Linked DNA regions of Ovis aries. The protein of the gene in region 2 purifies or fractionates together with the protein of the main gene of each other region. This does not show direct contact. Links are inferred from orthologs where the notes say so. Each region holds a gene or a part of one and is shown on either strand. Other genes may lie near its edges.

Region 1 (3,647 bases), on a different chromosome or scaffold from region 2:
CTTTAATGACAACTGGGCTCTGGCATGATCACCAAGGTGTGCAACTGTTCCCCCTACCTAATTTCAGGACATTTTCACCCTCCTGAAAAGAAACCCTGCCGGGCAGGGGTCACTGCCCATACTCCCCTCCCCAGCCATCCACTCCTCCACTTCAATTCTTGTTGGACTTGCCTGCTCTGGACATTTCATATGAATGGCTCTTTTTCCCCCTACTTGGCTGTGCTGTGTAGCTCATGGACTCTCAGTTCCCTGACCAGGGGTTAAACCCAGGCCCTTGGCAGTGAGAGCATGGAATCCTAACCACTGGAGTGCCAGAAGTTCCCGTAAATGGCTTCACAGGGTCTTATGTGAGCAGCTTCACCGTGACACTTCCAGGGCACACACTGAAATAACCTGTGTCACAACCTATTCTGTTTCAGGCAAACGGTGCTCCACTTAAACAGAGACCACCTCGGTGGGTGGGCATCTGGCCGCACGGCTCCCACTGCCGAGGACATGCACATGTGTGTCTAGGTGGATGTCTGCTGTCACTTCTCTCAGGTGCAACCCTGGGAATGAAAGTGCTGGGTCACATGGAGGTTTTAGGTGTAACCTTTTGAGGAACCCCACACCCCTGTCAGCAGCCAGCACCCCATCACAAGAGCCTGCTGTGTGACGTGGTGCCACACCATGGCTCTGAGCTGCATTTCCCTTTTGATCAAGGCTTCTGGCCATCTGGATATATTCTCTGAAGAAATGTCTATTCAAATCTGTGGCCTGTTTTAAAACTTCAGGGCTTGTACTGTTGAATTTCTCACAGCTCTGCACATTCCGGATGTGAGTCTCTTTTCAGAAACATCACCTGCAAGTATTTCCTCCTATTCTGCGGCTGCCTTTCTACATTCTTTCACATGGATTCATGAAGGTTAAGAATCCAAATCTATCACCCCAATCAGCCCAAATGTCCCGAACAAAATCCAAGCCCCTGGGCCTTTAAGGCCGTTCTGAGTTATTCCACAGAAACACTCCTGTAAGAGCACGAGGACACAAGCACCGCTTTCACACGAAGCAGCAGAACCTGCTGAAGGGCCTGCCCACCAGGGGCCAGGGAGCACCCAGGGCCACCTGCGCTCGGGGTGAGGTGGACGCAGCTCTCACTCATGTGATGTAATGCTGCGTGATCTGAAGTGTTTCTTTTTTCTTTTCTTTTTTTTTAGCAAGTATATCTTTTGGAATGTTTCAGAAAAGCAGTAAGAAAAGATGCCTGTCTGGTATCAGTCACGTCGCCTGCCCAGCAGAACCTCCAGTCGCCCTGTCCCAGGCCCCAGTAACACTGGTCAGTCCCGCTGACCAAGGCCACGCCCACTCACAGGCATGTGCACATGCTTGCACAGCATCTCAGATACACTCTGAGCTCCTCCAAGGTTCAGAGCACCTCTGATTACCAGAACGTGCGCTCCGAATCAAACTGAACTACTGAACATCTGACGAGTTCATCTTAAAACACTATTTATTCCCAGTCCTGTCTTTTTAGGCCCTGAGCGAGCCTCCAGAAATGCACATCTCATCACAGACACAAAACGGTGGAGGGGAGGCACTTTTTTCTCCGAACTCCTTTATACGTCTGAATTATGAACCAGAAGAATGTCCTACTTATTAAAAGAAGAAACACTTGGGAATTCCCCGACAGTTCAGGGTTAGGGTTCAGTGCTTTCACTGCTATGGCCCAGGGTTTAGTCCTTGCTTGGGGAACTAAGATACTGCAAGCCATGCAGCATGGACCGAAAAAAAAAAGGCAAAAAACTTAACCCAACTTCACACCTCATTTCAGAACAAGAAGACGTGACAAAGATCACTAGGCTCCACAAACATCCAGAGACACACAGAACTCAACCCGCACCAGACAGAATTCGAGTCCCTTCCTGCCTTGGGCCCCTGCCACCAGGCAAGGCACGCCTCTCTGACCACACAGGCTCATACACCCGAGCTGGGGGAGGGACCACCTGCTCGTAGAAGTAGAGTGCCCGCTCGAAGTTCTTCAGTCCGGTGTAGACCATCCCGCCATAGTAGTAGTAGCACAGGAAGTGCTTGGCGTCATAGGCCCCGTTCTCCTTGCAGATGTCCACCATGTCCACATCCAGGTACGGCAGGGCCGGCTTAAAGCACTTTGCCAGCAAACACAGCTGTGGTGAGAGATACATGCCGCCATCACCCCACATGCACTTCGGCACACATCAGCAAAAGGAGAAAACACAGAAGGTTCTAGAAAACGCTTGGCTTTACATCTGACTTGACTAGAATGATTTAAACGTTGACACGTCCATCTTCTTAGGCATTCAGAATAAAACAGCATTTCTTTGGAAAAGGCTAACCGGCTGTGACATGAAGAGCTCACAAGCAAAGCAAAGCCCAGGCATCTACAGATGATGCACGAGTGTGGGCTCTGCTCTCTGCTGCCCTGGTGGCACGGGCACAACTCCTCTCAGACCTCTCCTTGCCTGCTCTGACTCCCTTGGCTATGAGCAGAGAATGTGCAGCCCAAGAAAGCAGGACCGGCAGAGCCCTCGGGCCTGGGTGACAGTGGAACCAGACACACGGGTGTGCAAACACTGCACACCCGAGACTCCTAAACTCTCCCGTGTGCCTGTCACACCTCCACCACAAAGTGTTTCAAGAGAAAAAAAGAGAAAAGAATGCACGCCTCCATGTGAAGTGAGAAGACGCGGTTGAAATAATCCACATCCCATGTTGTTCATCAAGGGAACAATCTGGATACCCCACAGAGACTGGCTAAACCCACAGTATGGAGTTCTCTGTGGCTATAAAGCACTAACACAAAATCATCTCCAGGACACAGTATGTGGGAAAAAGACATTGTATAGATTGCTACTATTTGTGTTTAAACTAGAGAGACAAAAATATACACGTATCTGCTGGTGTGTGCTAAACTGTCTCTGGAGGGCTGCAGGAGAAATGAGCAACTCCAGCTTCCTCCGGAAAGGAGGGATGGGTGGCGGGGGAGCAGGTAGAGGCCAGCTTCATTACACATATCCCTCCTTTGCCATCTGGGTTTCGAGTCACACAAAATAAACAAACAAGTAACATCTTCAGGTGTGAGAACTCACCAGTTGGTTCTCAGGCCCCAGAGCTCCTACTGGGAGTGCTATCAGGGTCACAAGCACCACCCCCAACCCCAAACTGCTCTCACATCCCACTGACTGGCTGGGTGGCAGCCCACAGCTGGTGGTCAGCAGCCCCAACATTCCCTTCCAGCAACAGTGCCGCTTCTGACACTTAAAACATGGCGCCATCCCAACCACGTCCAACCTTGACCCGGGTGGCCGGGCCCCTGGTGCTCACCTGGCAGAGGTCGGCATGCACAGAGGTCAGCTGGTTTGTGTTCATCTGCATCTTGTCAATGGCTTGCCTGAGGACGCCAATTCCTCGCAGAGGCTGTCAGAAAGAGGCCTGTCAGTTAGGGTCTCAGTGGGGCGGCATGCCTGGTCCTAAGCTGTCCCTTACAAGTGAAAGTAACGCTATAGGCAGGCTCCTCTAAATGAGAGTGACCCTACTGATGGGCTCCTCTAAATGACAGGCGGGGGTTCCCACAGCCTCTGGAGAAGCTTCTGTCTCTCTTCAGTCAGAAAGTGTCGTCTTAGGCTGTTTAT
Region 2 (4,133 bases):
TTAATTTCTCTAATAGATATAAGACTATGCAGATTATCTGTTTCTTCTTCATTGAGTTTTCATTTTAGTGACTTTTCAGGTGTTGGTCTATTTCCTATTGAATTTTGGGCATAGAGTTGTTCCTATATCTAATCCTTTTAGGTCACCTAGTTTTCTTGGTTAGTCTGGACAGTTTTAACAGTTGTTTTGATCCTTTCAATGAACAGTCTTTTGGCTTCATCAGTTTTCCTTGTGTTTTTTTTTTGTCTATTCTGTTTCATTGGTTTCTGCTCTGCTGTTTATGATTAAGGAAAAGGAATTTGGGGCTAATCTACATGTTTTGATTAGGGCTGGCTTGTATGTTGGTGTGATTTGTGGTCCCCCCGCCCCCAAAGCCACAGCAATCCGCTTTCTGTGGGTCTTTTGAGAATCTGATGAAAGTCCTAGATGTCCCCAAGAACACACACAAGGACACACTCAATTTCACGCATAGATTTAGGCAGTCCACAGGTGTCAGGCTCAAAACTCGCAGCCTGGAGCCCAAATCTGATGGTGTCAGACAAGCAGTTTGTTCTGGCAAAATAAAAAGTGATAAAAAACAGACAGGTAGAAAAACCCCACAGGCCCGGAGGAATTTTCAATTTCATCAAGCCCTAGTATTTTACCATCTCTGTATTTTTCATCCAAAGCACTTTGCTGGCACTATGCCCCGTGAGATTCTTTAGGGTAGAGACGGTCCAACGCACTTCTCGCCCCGTCTGGCCTGAGAAACGCTTAATAAAGGCTTTCTGCCTTCAATTGGCCACTTTCGGCTACTTTTTGACCCTTGACCTCGCTTCAAACGAGATTTCGGGGGACAGGCCCTAGCAGGCGCCCACCAGCATCTGTTAGCCGCATCCGGGCCAGCGAGGGCTGCGCTGCCCCGACTCCCGGTTCCGAGGTGACCCTCGGCCTTTGCGAACTCCAACCCCAGCCTTCAACCCCTCCCAGGTCAACGCCACAGCCTCACCTCCCAGCGCCTGCTTCCCGCCCCCTCCACTTGACGGGCGTCTCCGCGGGCCAATGAGCGAGCAGTAACCACCCCTGGGACGGGGCCGAACGAGAACCAATCCCCGCTCCGGGGCCCGCCCGGGTCCAAATGGCCCAATGGGCGGTGGCGGTAGGGTTCGCTGTGGGGGCGGTGCTGGTAGGTTTGGCCAACGGGCGTGCACGTCGGCGCCGCGGGGGGCGGGCCCGCGGCGGGCGTGCGGCGGAGAGGCGGCGCAGGGCGGGGGAGGAGGTAAACAAGATGGCGGCGGCGTGTCGGGCGCGGAAGGGGGAGGAGGCCCGGGGCGCCCGCGACTGAGGCGGGGCGCGGCGGTAGCGGCGGCGGGCGCCGGCCGGCAGAGCGGCCGCCTTGCATGGGCTGGGCCCCCGCGCCGCCCCGCCTGCTCCACGCGCGCGGCGGCCGCGGCGCGATACGCGCCGCCCGGGCCCCGGCAGCCCCGGGAACCCCGGTCCGGGGCCTGCGGCCTGCGCCGCCTGGGCTGCCCGGAGCCCCGCGCGCCCCACTGTCCGCGACCGACGGCGTTCGGGCGGAGAGCGATCGAGGGCTGCCGTTTGGGGCGGGGCGCCCGCCGGGCCCGCGCGGTCGCTTGGTGTCCCGGGCCGGTGTGCGGGCGCCCGAGCGGCGGCTGGTTCGGACGAGCCTTACTCTTTGCAGCCGGCGGGCCCCGGGCAGCTCCGGCGCTGGCGGGAGCCGGCCGAGCTGGACGAAGGTGCCCCGCGCGCTCAGGATACGCACCTGCTGGCGTCTCAGGCGCCCCAGACGGCGGGAGACGCCCCCGAGCTGCGCGCCCTGCTCCCGGCAAAGCTCACCTGCCCAGCTCCGGGAGCCCCAGAGCTGGCCTGCGCGGGGCCCCGGGCGCGCGCCATGGCCCGCTGGTAATGGACGGAGCGGAGAAGACTCGGCCCGGCCGCGTCCGTGTTCGTTCGAGGGTCTAAAGTCCCTGGAGGATGACCTAGCACTTCCCAGCCCCACCGGCCTCCCGAGGGCCCCCGTGGACGCGCCTGCCCGCCCCAAAGCTCCGAGGTCGGGCGGCCCCCAAACTTGGGACGCTGCGCACGCCCGCCTGCCCGGGCTCTGGACCAGCCGCGCCTTTTGAACTTACGTTCAGTACAATCGTTTCTTTTCCAAGAGGGTTTTCCTTTATTATTATTATTTTTTTCCTCTCTTATTTTTTCGATTTTGTTGACTTTATATTTTGGAGAAGGGAATTTTGAGGTGGGACGGAGGTGGGGAGAAACAAAAGGAAGAACCGCTCGCTCCCCGTGAAGTTCACAAAGGGGATAAGGGACCGCCTGCCGGAGTCGGAGGCCTGGAGTTCAGGATGGAGGTGGCGGACCCGCAGCAACTGGGTATGTTTACAGAGGGCGAGCTGATGTCGGTGGGGATGGACACATTCATCCACCGGATCGACTCCACCGAGGTCATCTACCAGCCCCGCCGCAAGCGGGCCAAGCTCATCGGAAAGTACCTGATGGGGGACCTGCTGGGGGAGGGGTCGTACGGCAAGGTGAAGGAGGTGCTGGACTCGGAGACATTGTGCAGAAGAGCCGTCAAAATCCTCAAGAAGAAGAAGTTGCGGAGGATCCCCAACGGGGAGGCCAACGTGAAGAAGTAAGTGCGGGCTTCCTGGGTGGGGACGCGCGCCGCAGGGCGGTCCCCTTCTTCCCCCTTCCCTCCCTTCCTCTTCCCTTCTCTCGGTTACTTTCTTCCGTCCGAGTCGACCAGCCAGAAAGAGTCCTGGGCATCTCTTGGGGGACTTCGGTAAAGTCAGGATCGCTCGTTGCGGCTGGGCGTCCTGCCCTCGCAGCTGCTGCGGGGCCCTCCTCGGAAGGGGGCGCCCCTCTCTCCCTGTGCCCTCTTAGCTGTCCGGAGGGCTCAGATAACCGGCGGAGGCGGCCAGCGTTGGTTTAGCTTCGGAAAACCAAAAGCAGTTGGGTTCCGAAAGGGCTCTGTCTGCCGCCGGCAGGTTTCCTCCTAGCGTGAGGCTGTTACTAGGGCCGGAACACGCCATTTGTTTACCCTGTTGGAGGGCGAAGCTGCGGTTGCCAAAAATAATTGTTTGCACCGGTTTATCAGTCTGCAGGGGCGAACTTGGCCCTTTCTCACTCGCCTGGGATGTGCCACAGGACACATCCACGATTTGCAGGCTCGGTGGCTTCTGAGAAGTGGGGGTCGGCTTGTGTCCAGACAAACTTTTTACACAGATTTTTTTCCCGCGCCTGTCTGGCCATAGGCATCCCCAAGGCGGTGGGAGCCCTGCCTCCGTCCTTTTTGCTGGTTCTGGGAGGGGGCACCCTTTCCTTATCTCTGCTGCCTGGGGATCCCACCCTACCCCAGCCCAGGGCTCTATCTAATGGGCCAGGCGGCAGGACTGGCTGGTGACCTTGGCCGGTCCTGGGAGTGCTGCTCCCTGATCACTCTCACCCCTCCTCCCAGCCCCCCTGCTCTCCGGGCAGTTTGACAGTGAGTGCCCAGCTGCCTCTGTCTGCTGTGGGACACCTGGAGAGCAGGGCAGTGGGGCCAGACCGGCTGCGGACCGTGTCCCAGCCACGGACCCCCAGCAACGGCAGGACCAGGCATCCCAGGGCCAGCCCAGCCAGTTCTCTGTGCCCATCTGCCACCTGCGTGGTGAGGGTTAGGCAGGGGCCACTAGTGTCCTGGGTGAGACAGGCCAGGGGACAGTGGGTGCCAGTGCCCTCCTGCAGGCTAAGTTAGGCCACACTTCTGATCCAATCCCCACTCCCTGTTTCTCTGAGTCACCTTTTCTCCTTAATCCAGAAGTGTATGGGGGAGAGGTGACCCTCAGGCTGCCAGTTGGCCACCACTGCGGTTTGAGGGGCAGTGGGCTTCTGGATGCTGCTGGCAGAAAGGGAATCCCCCCACACACACATTTTCTCCAGGGCTGGTCCTTGTCCTCCTGGCTCGTCTTAGGCCTCATCCCTTGGTCTGTCCCAGGAGTGGGGTGCTGGACTCTTCCAGCCTGGACAAGCCCTCCTGGATGGAGTTGGCGCAGGTCACCCTAGTGTCTGGTGCCTTATGCTTTGCTGCATCCCAAGCTGGGAGGGGCCAGGCTCATTTCCAGCACCAACTGATATTTGGTTAGGGC

Evidence for each region. The genes of interacting proteins can lie anywhere in the genome.
Region 1: the proteins of STK11 (region 2) and COPS3 purify together in Homo sapiens (affinity purification with mass spectrometry; 5 studies listed by BioGRID and IntAct, with this or other methods). This does not show direct contact. The link is inferred for Ovis aries from reciprocal best matches to the Homo sapiens genes STK11 and COPS3.

What each region holds. Positions count from the first base shown.
Region 1 is NC_056064.1:34,640,516-34,644,162, reverse strand, and holds part of COPS3 (COP9 signalosome complex subunit 3), read right to left. Parts: intron 3,433-3,647; coding exon 3,340-3,432; intron 2,163-3,339; coding exon 1,983-2,162; intron 1-1,982. UniProt on the Homo sapiens protein: Component of the COP9 signalosome complex (CSN), a complex involved in various cellular and developmental processes.
Region 2 is NC_056058.1:41,329,468-41,333,600, forward strand, and holds the start of STK11 (serine/threonine-protein kinase STK11), read left to right. Parts: upstream 1-1,260; 5' UTR 1,261-2,348; coding exon 2,349-2,638; intron 2,639-4,133. UniProt on the Homo sapiens protein: Tumor suppressor serine/threonine-protein kinase that controls the activity of AMP-activated protein kinase (AMPK) family members, thereby playing a role in various processes such as cell metabolism, cell polarity, apoptosis and DNA damage response.